Linked DNA regions of Cricetulus griseus. The main gene of each other region encodes a partner of the protein of the gene in region 3 in a complex. Links are inferred from orthologs where the notes say so. Each region holds a gene or a part of one and is shown on either strand. Other genes may lie near its edges.

What was found.
Region 1: the proteins of S100a4 (region 3) and Myh9 are in contact, whole or in part, in an NMR structure (PDB 2LNK), measured with the Homo sapiens proteins. The link is inferred for Cricetulus griseus from reciprocal best matches to the Homo sapiens genes S100A4 and MYH9. Residues at the interface, in NP_002952.1 of Homo sapiens: Leu38, Ser44, Phe45, Leu46, Gly47, Lys48, Arg49, Thr50, Asp51, Ala54, Phe55, Lys57, Leu58, Asn61, Leu62, Ser64, Gln73, Glu74, Cys76, Val77, Phe78, Ser80, Cys81, Ile82, Met84, Met85, Cys86, Glu88, Phe89, Phe90; in NP_002464.1 of Homo sapiens: Thr1906, Ala1909, Met1910, Glu1913, Val1914, Ser1915, Leu1917, Lys1918, Lys1920, Leu1921, Arg1922, Asp1925, Leu1926, Pro1927, Phe1928, Val1929, Val1930, Pro1931, Arg1932, Met1934, Ala1935.
Region 2: the proteins of S100a4 (region 3) and Anxa2 are in contact, whole or in part, in a crystal structure (PDB 5LPU), measured with the Homo sapiens proteins. The link is inferred for Cricetulus griseus from reciprocal best matches to the Homo sapiens genes S100A4 and ANXA2. Residues at the interface, in NP_002952.1 of Homo sapiens: Lys35, Leu38, Pro43, Ser44, Phe45, Leu46, Gly47, Lys48, Arg49, Thr50, Asp51, Ala54, Phe55, Lys57, Leu58, Asn61, Leu62, Gln73, Phe78, Cys81, Ile82, Met84, Met85, Glu88, Phe89, Phe93; in NP_001002857.1 of Homo sapiens: Leu13, Glu14, Pro21, Ser22, Ala23, Tyr24, Ser26, Val27, Lys28, Tyr30, Thr31, Asn32, Phe33, Glu36, Arg37, Leu40, Thr44, Gln69, Asp70, Phe73, Arg77, Arg78.

Annotation. Positions count from the first base shown.
Region 1 is NC_048595.1:374,865,672-374,868,023, forward strand, and holds part of Myh9 (myosin-9), read right to left. Parts: intron 2,137-2,352; coding exon 2,008-2,136; intron 1,103-2,007; coding exon 1,014-1,102; intron 929-1,013; coding exon 805-928; intron 511-804; coding exon 302-510; intron 1-301. UniProt on the Homo sapiens protein: Cellular myosin that appears to play a role in cytokinesis, cell shape, and specialized functions such as secretion and capping. Required for cortical actin clearance prior to oocyte exocytosis. Promotes cell motility in conjunction with S100A4.
Region 2 is NC_048597.1:181,008,758-181,012,987, forward strand, and holds the start of Anxa2 (annexin A2), read left to right. Parts: upstream 1-1,392; 5' UTR 1,393-1,500; intron 1,501-4,230. UniProt on the Homo sapiens protein: Calcium-regulated membrane-binding protein whose affinity for calcium is greatly enhanced by anionic phospholipids. It binds two calcium ions with high affinity. May be involved in heat-stress response.
Region 3 is NW_023276806.1:63,942,395-63,946,517, reverse strand, and holds S100a4 (protein S100-A4), read left to right. Parts: upstream 1-1,280; 5' UTR 1,281-1,437; intron 1,438-2,477; exon of another isoform or gene 2,478-2,538; intron 2,539-2,674; 5' UTR 2,675-2,689; coding exon 2,690-2,830; intron 2,831-3,454; coding exon 3,455-3,619; downstream 3,620-4,123. UniProt on the Homo sapiens protein: Calcium-binding protein that plays a role in various cellular processes including motility, angiogenesis, cell differentiation, apoptosis, and autophagy.

The DNA.
Region 1 (2,352 bases), on a different chromosome or scaffold from region 3:
AGGATGGGACCTGGGCTGACCCATGAGACCAGTGAAGGAGCCAGCCTATGGAGAATCTGAGGCTTGGGACCCAGCATGGTCCTCATTACTTCCAAGTCTCAGTTCTGAGCCCCAAGACAGCTAGGCAGGGTCTCTCACTAGAACAGCCCACAAAGCTCCCAGTTCTGGGTGTGGGCTATGGGTTCCCACCCAAACTCCATACTTCTCAGAACAAATGAAGACTGCTTGTGAAGCCTGGAAGACAGAGCTCATTCCTGACCCGACCGGCACTGACTGCCCTCAGTTTGGGTGGGGTACCTACTTGGTCTCATTGTCCAGCTGTTCCTCCAGCTGTGCAATCTTGGCCTCCAAGGCAGCAATGGAGGCCTTGTATTTGGACTTGACAGCACTCTCCATCTCCTGCAGCTTGGCCTTGAGCTCCTTGTTCTGGCGTTCGAGCTGCTGCCGCGCATTCTCGTTCTTCTGAGCATGACTGCGCTCCAGGTTCAGGTCGGTGTTTATCTGGTCAATCTGCAAGAAGGCAGTACGGTGACCTCAAGGGAGGGCTGGGGCCCAGCTGCATGGACCCTCTCCTCAGACATCAGAACCAAAGAACACCCCAGCTCTCTCAGAGAGGAATCTACTCATGAACAGGACCCAGAAACTTCTGAAGCCTGGTCTTGAAGCCACGGGTCAGAGGCATTGTGAGAACAGTGGACACTCATCCATCCTATTTCTGCCCGCCATGGTCTGCTGGACCACAGGGAGCTCAGGCAAAGAGTCTTGATCCCAGTATGCAGGGTCAGCGGCCACCACGATGCTCACCTGCAGGTTGGCCTTCTTCAGCCGGTCGTTGATCAGCTCTGTGTTACCCTGCTCCTCCTCCAGCTCCTCCTCCAGCTGGGCAATGCGGGCCTCTAGGCGCCGCTTCTCCTCCAACGCGAGTGCCCTGGAGAGGACCCAGAGACGTGAGGGCTTGGGTAACTGGGGAGGCCCTCAGACACCCTTGCTTGTGCTTCCTCCCTCTGGCTCACCCTTTGCCACTGCTGTTGGCGATCTCGTCAGCCAGCTCGTCCCGTTCCTGTTGGGCCTGGCGCTTAGCACGCTCAGCAGCTGCCAATTCCTGCCACAAGGACCAAGAACATAAATGACTGGGACCAACACAGCCTTCAGCGCCGCATGTCCTCTCTGGCCCTCAGCACATACCTCTGTTCCTCTAGCTCACAGGGTCAATTCCAGCCCGAGGCACCTTTAGGCATGTGTTTATAAAGCCCCTATGCCTAAGTACTTGGAGCCAAGCCAGGAGCCAGGGCTATAAACAGGAACCACCCAGGCCTAACAGGGACAGCTTGTGTGGACAGACCTGCAGTACTGGTCCCCTGCATATGGTCAGACCAGATACTGAGATGATTAATGAAGCAGGCTTGAGTGCAGGTTAGAGTCCAGGACTCTGCCACTAAGGGCAGCAGACAGACTGTAGAAACCTCCAGAGCACCACGCATGACGGTGACAATGGAGGGAGTTATCCTACACCCAGTAGAAGAGAAGAACCATGCCAGAGCAGAGGGTCTGACCAAGCATTTCATAAGCCGGCGGTGGCACTTTGTGGGAAGTCCACCACCCCACCTGTCCCCACCATGTGCTTCATGTGTCACCAAAGCAGCAGCCCAGGGGGCACTCAGGACCCTCCTTGCCATGTGCAATCGCTGTAAGCTTATAATCAACACACCGCTTCATGGGATGGACTGGGGACTAAGCAGTCACATTTTCTTTTAAAAGGTGGGGAGTACTGAGTCTCATCCTTGTCCCCATTACACATGTTCATGAGCATGAACGCATACACCATGCCATGCCAACTGTGTGGCTAGGGCATGAGCCCTGGAAGGACCCCTCCCATTAACTCCTGCCAGGAGGTAGCTCAGCTTTTCTGCCCTTCCCTTCTGGGCTGAGGCCTACTAACAGGAAAAGGCCCCAGGCTGCCCCCTGCTGGCCAGGAGGCAGAAGCCCCGTGCCCCACAGCTGGCCCACCTCCTGCAGCTGAATCATCTCAGCCTCCATGCTCTTGAACTTCTTCTCATTCTCCTTGGCCTGCGCCAGGATCTCCTCTCGGGAGGCGCGCGTGTCATCCAGCTCCCGCATGCAGTCCTTCATCTGGGCCTGTGTGCAGCAAGAGAGTCTGGCGTCTCCACCTACTTCACACCCGTGGGGACCTCTCTGAGCCTGGGACCATTTTGGCCAACCTCTTTATAAACAGGCAGAAAAGTAACCAAAGGCAAGTGGCTCTGCACCTGGATCCTCCTCCAAGGACTTACACAGCATTTCTTAACAGCAATGACCCCTGGATACAGTGCAAACTGTCCTCCTTACTTCTTA
Region 2 (4,230 bases), on a different chromosome or scaffold from region 3:
ACACCCAGTGATAGATAAACATGGTTTTTGTCTTTAAAGCTGTCCATAATGAAGAGCTGTGAATGTAAATCAAACATTGTATCAAAAGTGATAATGTCCTTTTTTCTACTTGTTATTCTGCTGGGGCTCACATGTAACTTCTAGTGGCAAGGCTGGGCAACCTAGAGCCTGAGCTGGATGTTGGGACCCCAGTTGGGGCTGACTTCACAGCTAACTGGCTATGTGACAGTAAGCACAGTACTGAGCATCTCTTTCCCTGGCTATCCTGCTATCCTCGGAATGAACTGAGAGAGGAGTACAAAGTATAAACAGATGTTGTAGTCAGTTGGGAGCAGGGCTGAGAAGATAGCTCAGCTGGTAAAGAGCTTGTGGCCAAAGCAAAGGAACCTGAGTTCCATCCTCAATTCAGGCAGGTAAAATGGTTACTAACCAGCCAGTCTAAACCTAATTTGTGAGCTCCAGGCACCTTGTCTCAAATAACTCCTGAGGAACAGCGTCCCTGAGGCTGACATCTGGTTGGCTTCCACATGTGAACTACAGGCTCACACAAATAGATGGGAGAGATGATAAAGAACCATTAGGACCAGGAGAAAAGAGAGAGAGGTGAAATGTGCAGCTTAAAGACCCAGTGTGAAAGGTGTTCTGGATTCTTCTGTTAGCCTGAGGTTTGATGCAGTATGGGCAGTCACACACAGACATAGTTCACTCCTGCATTGTCCGTGTGACTGCCCCTGAAAATCAGGCTAGGAAAAAATGAAAAAATAAAATAAAACCCAGAGAAGCAATTGGTCAAGGGAATGAGAAAAACAAAACCCTAATAATCTACAATTAGGAAAGACGGTAGGAGGTCTTGTAGAGTGCTCTGAAGTGCTGCTGTCTGGGGGAAGGAGGCACCTGGGTGGGGGGGGGGTGCCTTACCTCTGAGTCTCCCTGACTGCTTGGAGGCCTTCATGCAGTTTCCTAGGCCCATTAGGCTCTCTAGGTCGTTTCAAATAAACCGCCCACCCCATGCTCCTCCATCTGGTGACCAGAGGTTAAACTAATATGTTTGCAGACGGTCATGGAGAGCTGGGTGCCAACAGCCTAACTCAGGGGAATCCAAGTATGTGTGTCTTGAAACAATTCTACCCTCCATTACCTCGACATCTAGAAGCCTATAAACAAAAGAAGAAGTGGATTGGGCAAGCCAGTCTGCTGAAATCTTAACAGCCGAGGGCCAGGCTGACCACTGGGCCCAATACCCTAGGAGTAAGGGGGGTAGGGAGGTGGAGGCTTGATGGGCCTGGGAAGGTGGTGAGGCTGTCACGTAGGGCAGGGCCGGGACTGGGCGGCGTTCCAGAGAGGGTGAGTCACCCGGAGCAGGGTGGGCACAGGCCGGGGAGGGGAGGGGAGGCGTGGCGGCTTTACGCAGGGAGGATGGGGCGGGTATAAAAGCCCCACCCAGCCCAGCCGGGCCGCTCGGCTTCTGGGGAGGCTTTCAGCGCTAGGCGCCCGGCCCAGGTAAGTGGGGCGCGGCCCGGTCATCCGCTATGGCCTCGGGGTTTCGGTGTTGAACCGGGAGCGGGCAGGCTCCGACGACGGGGACCCTGGGAGGCACCAAGAAGGATCCATCCCCTTGGGCGATCTACGCGTCCTGCCACAGAGTTGCAAAGTGTCCCGTGTGGGGTCGTGACACGTCTCTTTGCATACCACGCCTGGGGGGGGTGCAGGGCAGAGGTGGAGGAGACTGTGCTTCCCCTTGAGGTCCCCTGAGAAGCAGGGAGACCCTGTGTGGGGCGGGGAACCGAGGGGCTCGGCATTCCAGAGGTGCTAGGTGCCAACGGGGGACTGGGTGTGGCCGCTGGGGAGCCTGCAGCCCAACAGTGAGACATCTGTGGACTTTTCCCCTCCGCCTTCCGAACTGCGTCGTCCTCTCACTCTGAACCATAACTCCTGCAATTTCAGGTGTATTTCTTTGCTACTGACAAACGTAAATTTGTGAAGTCGGCGCGGGGAACCGGGCGAGGGCGGGGGCGGCGGCACCAGAACTTCAAGTCTTGAGTTCTTGGTGCCCTCCTTTACACAAAACAATCTCAGCTCAGTCTTTGTCGCGAACTCTAGATTGTTTGGTAGGACAGCGACCTCAGACCCTATTCTTTCTGAGGAGTTTGCCGCCCTGGAACGTGTGCAGAAAGAAGTATCCCCGGGTGGTTCAGTAGAGAAAGTTGCCTTGACTGCACTGAAGCCACCATGAGTCAATTGACAGAGTCTATAGAAAAGGGCGTGGCTCCTGAGCCCCAGGTTCCAATGCTGGCATGGAGGGCTGTGGCTCCAGAAGTTTCTTTATCTATAAAAGTGGTTTCCGAACCCTTGTTCTTAGCTCCACCCACACTGAGTTATTGAAGATTTCCGAAAACAAGTTCATTCAAAAATAGATAAGTAAAGCACACTGAAAACACAGCGTTGTACAAATATAAAAGAAAACAAAAAGCTGTTACTTGAGACATAGCGGTAATCTCAAAACTCGGAAGACCGAGGCAGCAAGATCCTGAGTTTGAATCCAGCCTGAGCTACAAAGTGAGACACCATCCTCCCCCTGACCCCCGTCTCAAAAAACAAACAAACAAAACGGAGAGCTGATCTAGCTCATTGGTAGAGTACCCCACTAAGACACACAAGATCCAGGCTTTTATTCCCAGAACCAGAATAACCAGAAAGTTATTCATTTGTGTAGTAATTTGCCATATTCAGTCCCAGCCCTTAACAACAACCATAAACTCTTGGAATCCAAGGTCCTCAGCCTTTAACATACAGGGGTATTATCAGATGAGTCTGCAACTTGGACTGGGAAGCCACTTCCCGGCTCTCCCCCAGGAACACTATAGAAGGAGTTTGGAAACCCATGCTAGCACACTCCCCCACCCCAATTAATTAATTTGCACTGTATCTGAGTGCTGCCTAATGGCAAGGAGCAGGATACAAGATGGGAGGGCGAGGGGTGGTCCATGGGTAGGAATAATAAATCACTGATGCGGTTTTCAGGGTTTTCTCCGTTTAGTTTTAAATATAGATTTGATTAAATCGTGTTAATTGAAAACTTGTGTCTTTGCCCCCTTCTCTGGTTTCTTTTTCCTGCTTCCCTGCCACCTTCTTGCGGTCTGTGTCCCTTGATGTGTTACGTTGGCTTTGGACACTTGAGCGGCCCCTCCTCCACACCCACTTCCTCTTCATTTCAGTGTGTGCTGCGCCCAGCCAAAGCCTGTGGGTCTGAGTCAGGGAACCTGAAGATGGCAGATGAGATCAGGGCAGAGCCCCGTCCTCTTCCACTGAGTCCACTGCTCACCTTAGATCCCGGGGTTTCTTTAGAAGAGCCCGTCGCCTCTGCTGCAGCAGGGGCAACCTCCTAGGTGCGCACCTTTCTGTTGAGGGTTTCCTGTTTGGTGTGGTAGAGAGAGAAGTTCAGGAAGTTTTGCTAACTAGCCAGGCAGCACTTAAGGCTTTGACTGAGAGCTTGGGTTTGGACTGGTGCCTCTCAATGTTTCACATCCTGTGTCTTTGAGTTATTAAAATACCCTATTGATTGGCATTACACATGCAGTCTTGGCCACTGGCTTCCTGACTAAGTTCCGATTTAAGTAGTTTTCCTGGCAAGACAGGCACTCTCCTAAATTGCTATTGATTTTTGAGAACTCTCATCTCTCTCTGCACCTTTGGGCCTGCATTAATGTGTGTGAGGGTTGATGGGAACTTTGGCTCTAATTCTTGGCTTGTGCTGGGTGCCAGACCTGTTTCATCTGGGGAGAGTGGGTGTGTTACAAAAGGAGTCCCAGGCACTGTGGGCTGCTTTCAGCATCCATTTGTCTTACAAACTGTCTTTTACGTACCCACTGTGTCCCAATCACAGTTATGGTACTGAGGATACAGTAGTAGACTAGACACACATGCATGCATATTCGTTCACTGTGTGCTTGTACATACAAACACAGCCCTTGCCTTTCAGATTTTGAATCTTTTAGGGAAAGAAAAAAAAAGAAAAGATACGTGTGTTAATTGTAGAGATAGCAATTTGATTTGACATTTTGTATTTTCCTAAACTAATATTTACTCACAAAACCAGCTGGGTCTCCATTCCCAGCTTCTATACAGTTGTTTCACAGACCTAGACATGGAGCTGAGCTTATCCCAAAGAGGTGTCTAAATAAACTGGATTTAACCTGTTCTTCACAATCAACTGGGAGACTTGAGTAGAAG
Region 3 (4,123 bases):
TGCTAACCCTGGCTACTCATGCACAGTAGAAGCTTTCCTAGGGATGTCAAAGTAGTGAGGGGTGGAACAGTAGCTTCTCTTCTTGGAAGGGAGAACATTTGCTCTCTCACTTTGGAGGCTCAGCCATGTGCACACTGTGGCAGGGGCCTGCTCAACTCCTAATAAAGAAATGTCAGCTTGGCTTGGTTTGGTTCTTCTGATGGGACACACTGGATTTTGGGACTGAGTCCTTGGGAGTCTTTACCCCTCTATGTTCCATATCGCTGGAGGAAGGCAGCTGAAGGCAGGGGCCCTAAAGGCAGTTCCAGACCCCATAGGAATGCATAAGTCTCAGTATTCAGTAGGAAGGTGGGGCCATTACAAGTCCCCATCAGGTGAGGCTGGGGGTCTTTGTCTCCATCTCTCTGTCCCCTGTCTTGAGGTGGAAGCCCTTGTTTTGGGCTTTCTAGGAGGGCAAGAGGCTCCTTGGGAGAAACTCAGTACTTGTGATTAGAGCATCGAGGTATGTGGGTATGGGTGTGGCATAGCTGTGGGAAACCAGAGAGCAGTAGCAATAGGATTGGGGCCTCTGAGGTATTTGCTGCCAGCCAGGGAGGGAGCCTCTGTATTTACTGCAAGGGGAAAGGGATACTTTGAGTCAGTCCTCATCTCTGAAACCACAGCCCCTGAGGGTCCCAAGTTCCCATTTCTGACCATTGCTCAATCCCCGTATTTGTACCCCATCCTTAGAGATTAATCCTGACTCCCCATTTTACCTGTTTCTCCTGTAACTCTCTTCTCCAAGCTGAGTGTTCAAACCTGAATGCTCCCATCAGCCCCAATACCCTCCCTGGACCTTCTACCCATTCATGAACCTCGAGGCCTCATTACTGCCCTAACTCCATCACGCCCTCTTAGGCGTTTCCCACTTAATACCTAGGGTGGTACCAAGGCCCCTCCCGACTTGCCAGTCTTCACTCTGGGTCTTACTGAGCGTGACAGAGAGCTGTTTAGGCTGGAGAGAAGGGCTGACTGTCCCACTGGCCGGGGTCACCTCCCCAATTCCTGGGCCATACATTTCCATATTCCCCTCTTGCCCATCACCTCCCCATCTTCTTTCCTGTGGCCCACATCCCATGCCCATGTTGCCCCTTCTCAAAGCTTCCTTAAAAGTTGGCTGAGCTGTGGCTACTGGGTGGTATCCACACCATTCAGGTCTCTCGTGTCCACTGGGGCTTACTCAATGCTCGCCTGTGCCTGCTGGGTAGTAGGAAGCTTGGTTCTCAGGTTGGGCTGGTGGAGGGGCCTGTGACATTTACTACATCAGCCAACAGTAGGAACATAGTATCCAAGCTCCCCCCATCCCCTGCATGGGCAGGGCCCAGCAGAGTATAAATAGGGCAGACATTTGAGCTTTCCCCAAACCTCTCTGTTCAGCACTTCCTCTCTCTGGGTCTGGTGAGTTGTGTTGGCTTCATAGCAGTATTAGTGGTGTCAGAGGCTGAGGCTGGGACAGGAGAAAGGGAGGCTTCTGGGGAGACAGATGTTTTTACTAGATCCAGATGAGAGATTCTGATGTGGAGGCTGTGTGTGTGTGTGTGTGTGTGTGTGTGTGTGTGTGTGTGTGTGTGTGTGTGTGTCTGTGTGTCTGTGTGTCTGTGTGTCTGTGTGTGTCTGTGTGTGTTGCACAAGAATGAAAACAGCAACAAAAAGGTGTATAGATGCCATTTGAGCTCTCAAGATTTCTAAGATGCTGAGGCTTACACGTGTTGTTGCTACAGTGTACATCTGTGTTTGGGAGCCATGGATAGGTACCCTGATGGGTGTTTGCTGGGTCATTCAAGCCAGTGTGTGCGGGAAAGCAGGTGCAGGAAGCAAAGTGAGGGAACATGTAGGCTTTCTTCTTAACGTTTAAACTTCAGTTATTTATTTGTGTGCATGCATGCGTGGGTTGGGGATGGGGGGCTCATGCCAAGGTGCACTTGTGGAGGTAAGAGGGCAACTTGTGGGAGGGAGTCAGTCTGCTCCTTCTACCATGGGCTCTGGGGATCAAACTCAGGCCATCAAGCTTAGTGGCAGGCACCTCTACTTACAGGCTACCACTCCAGCACTCACCTGTAGACTTCTGTGTTCATATTAGTGCCTTATGGACATCCAGCACCCCAGGTCAAGAGAGCCTGGCTTCCCCACCCTCCCCTTGTGCCCCTACCTCTGCCACCTCATCTCACTCCTCACTAAGCTGGTCAATAGGCAGCTGGGTTTTTTCCGCTGTGGGCCCATGGGCAGGCAGCCAGCAGCCGCGCCCAATGCTGGGAGGGGGAAGAACGGGCCAGAGCCTGGTGCTTGTGGTTGAGCTGAGCAAGGACGGAAAACTGCTGTTGTTGAGGCCAGGCCCGAGGACAGTCAGCCCAAAAGCTGCTGGCACGAATCTCCAGAGATTGTATGGTAGGCTCTGCATGTTTCAGAGCCCAAAGCATACACGACCATCTTGCCATTAGTGGGTCCCACTCCTCTGATCTCTCTGGGAATGAGGACAGTCTCCTGAAGTGTTCCTAGAGGGTAGGTTGGAATGGAGCATTTAAAATGGGGGCAGAATGAGTCTATGACTTGGGTGATGAGCAGTGCCACATAGCCAGTTCTTGATACACTGTTGGTGTGGGTTGGGTAAGGCTACCTTTGTGTCTCCTGCCCCTAGCTCTCAACTGTCACCATGGAATACCCCTTAGAAGAGGCCCTGGATATGATGGTGTCTACCTTCCACAAATACTCAGGCAAAGAGGGTGATAAGTTCAAGCTCAACAAGTCTGAGCTGAAGGAGCTGCTGACCAGGGAGCTGCCTAGCTTTTTGGGGGTGAGTGGGTCCTGCCTGTGTATTTCATGTGTGGTGCATCCCCAGGAGGAGGTTGGGACTCTGGTAGGTAGTGCCTAGCTACAGTTGGCGTATATCTCTAAGGTGGGGAAATGGAGGTTGGAGAGCTTGCTCCGGGTGCTTGGTGTGGAACCACAGTGAACCATCTATCCCTCATTAGCCCTCAGCTGAGAGAAGGCTTAGAATGAACACAACCGAAGAGACAGAGAAAAAGCAAAACAACTGCCTAACATAGTCAGTGTCTGAACTGCAGGCTAGATCAGGACTGTTGGCAAGAGAAATTGAGTTTCTGTTTGTGAAGACACGATGGTGGAGGCACACAAACACCTGCAGAGTCTCTCCTCAATAACACCTTGCATTAGTTAATTTAATGCATCACTGCCATGGCTGCTACCTAATGAGATAATTAAAGCAAACAAGGAGAAGATGTGGTCCTCCCCGTTCCCAGCTACCTCAAGTGCCCGCATCTAGGGCACATCCTCCTCTACATAGCTTAGTCCCAAGGCTTCCTGAGTGCCCAGAGGCACTCAGGTGTTCCTGAACACCTGGCTGGAGGCAGAGATCTAGCTTGGGTCTGGCTTCTAACTGTTCTTCTTCTACTCCCAGAAAAAGAGAGATGAAGCAGGATTCCAGAAGCTGATGAGCAACCTGGACAGCAACAGGGATAACGAAGTAGACTTCCAGGAGTACTGCGTCTTCCTGTCCTGCATTGCCATGATGTGCAATGAATTCTTTGAAGGCTGCCCAGATAAACAGCCCCGGAAGAAGTGAAGACTCTGCAGATGAAGTGTGGGGGCGTGGTCTTCGGGAGGAGGGGGCTCTTCCCTTTTGGCTCTGAGCATAGTGCCTTACTCTGGCTTCTTCATACATATGCACAATGCTGAGCGAGTTCAATAAAGAGTCTTGAAACTATGTGCTGTTGCCTAAGAGACTGGAGATTGTGGGTTGGGTGTTGAGGGAGGGTATATCACAGGGTAGTGGTGGGGACTGCGGGGAGTTGAGCTGGGAGTTGAGCCTTGAGGGAACAAAACTAGAAAGGGTTGGGTAGGGGTTGAGTGGCTGATTTAACTAGCATGCAAGTGTGTGTGTGTGTGTGTGTGTGTGTGTGCGCGCACATACGTGCAACAAAGAAAACTTTGGGAATACTTAAGGCAGAAGCCACCAGAGGCTTGGCTTGAAAGGCTCCAGATGTGGGAAGTTAGCCAGTCCACCACCCTCCTTTCTCTCTCCAGATCTGCCTCTGGGCTCAAACTGAAGTTGGGATGGGATTGAAGG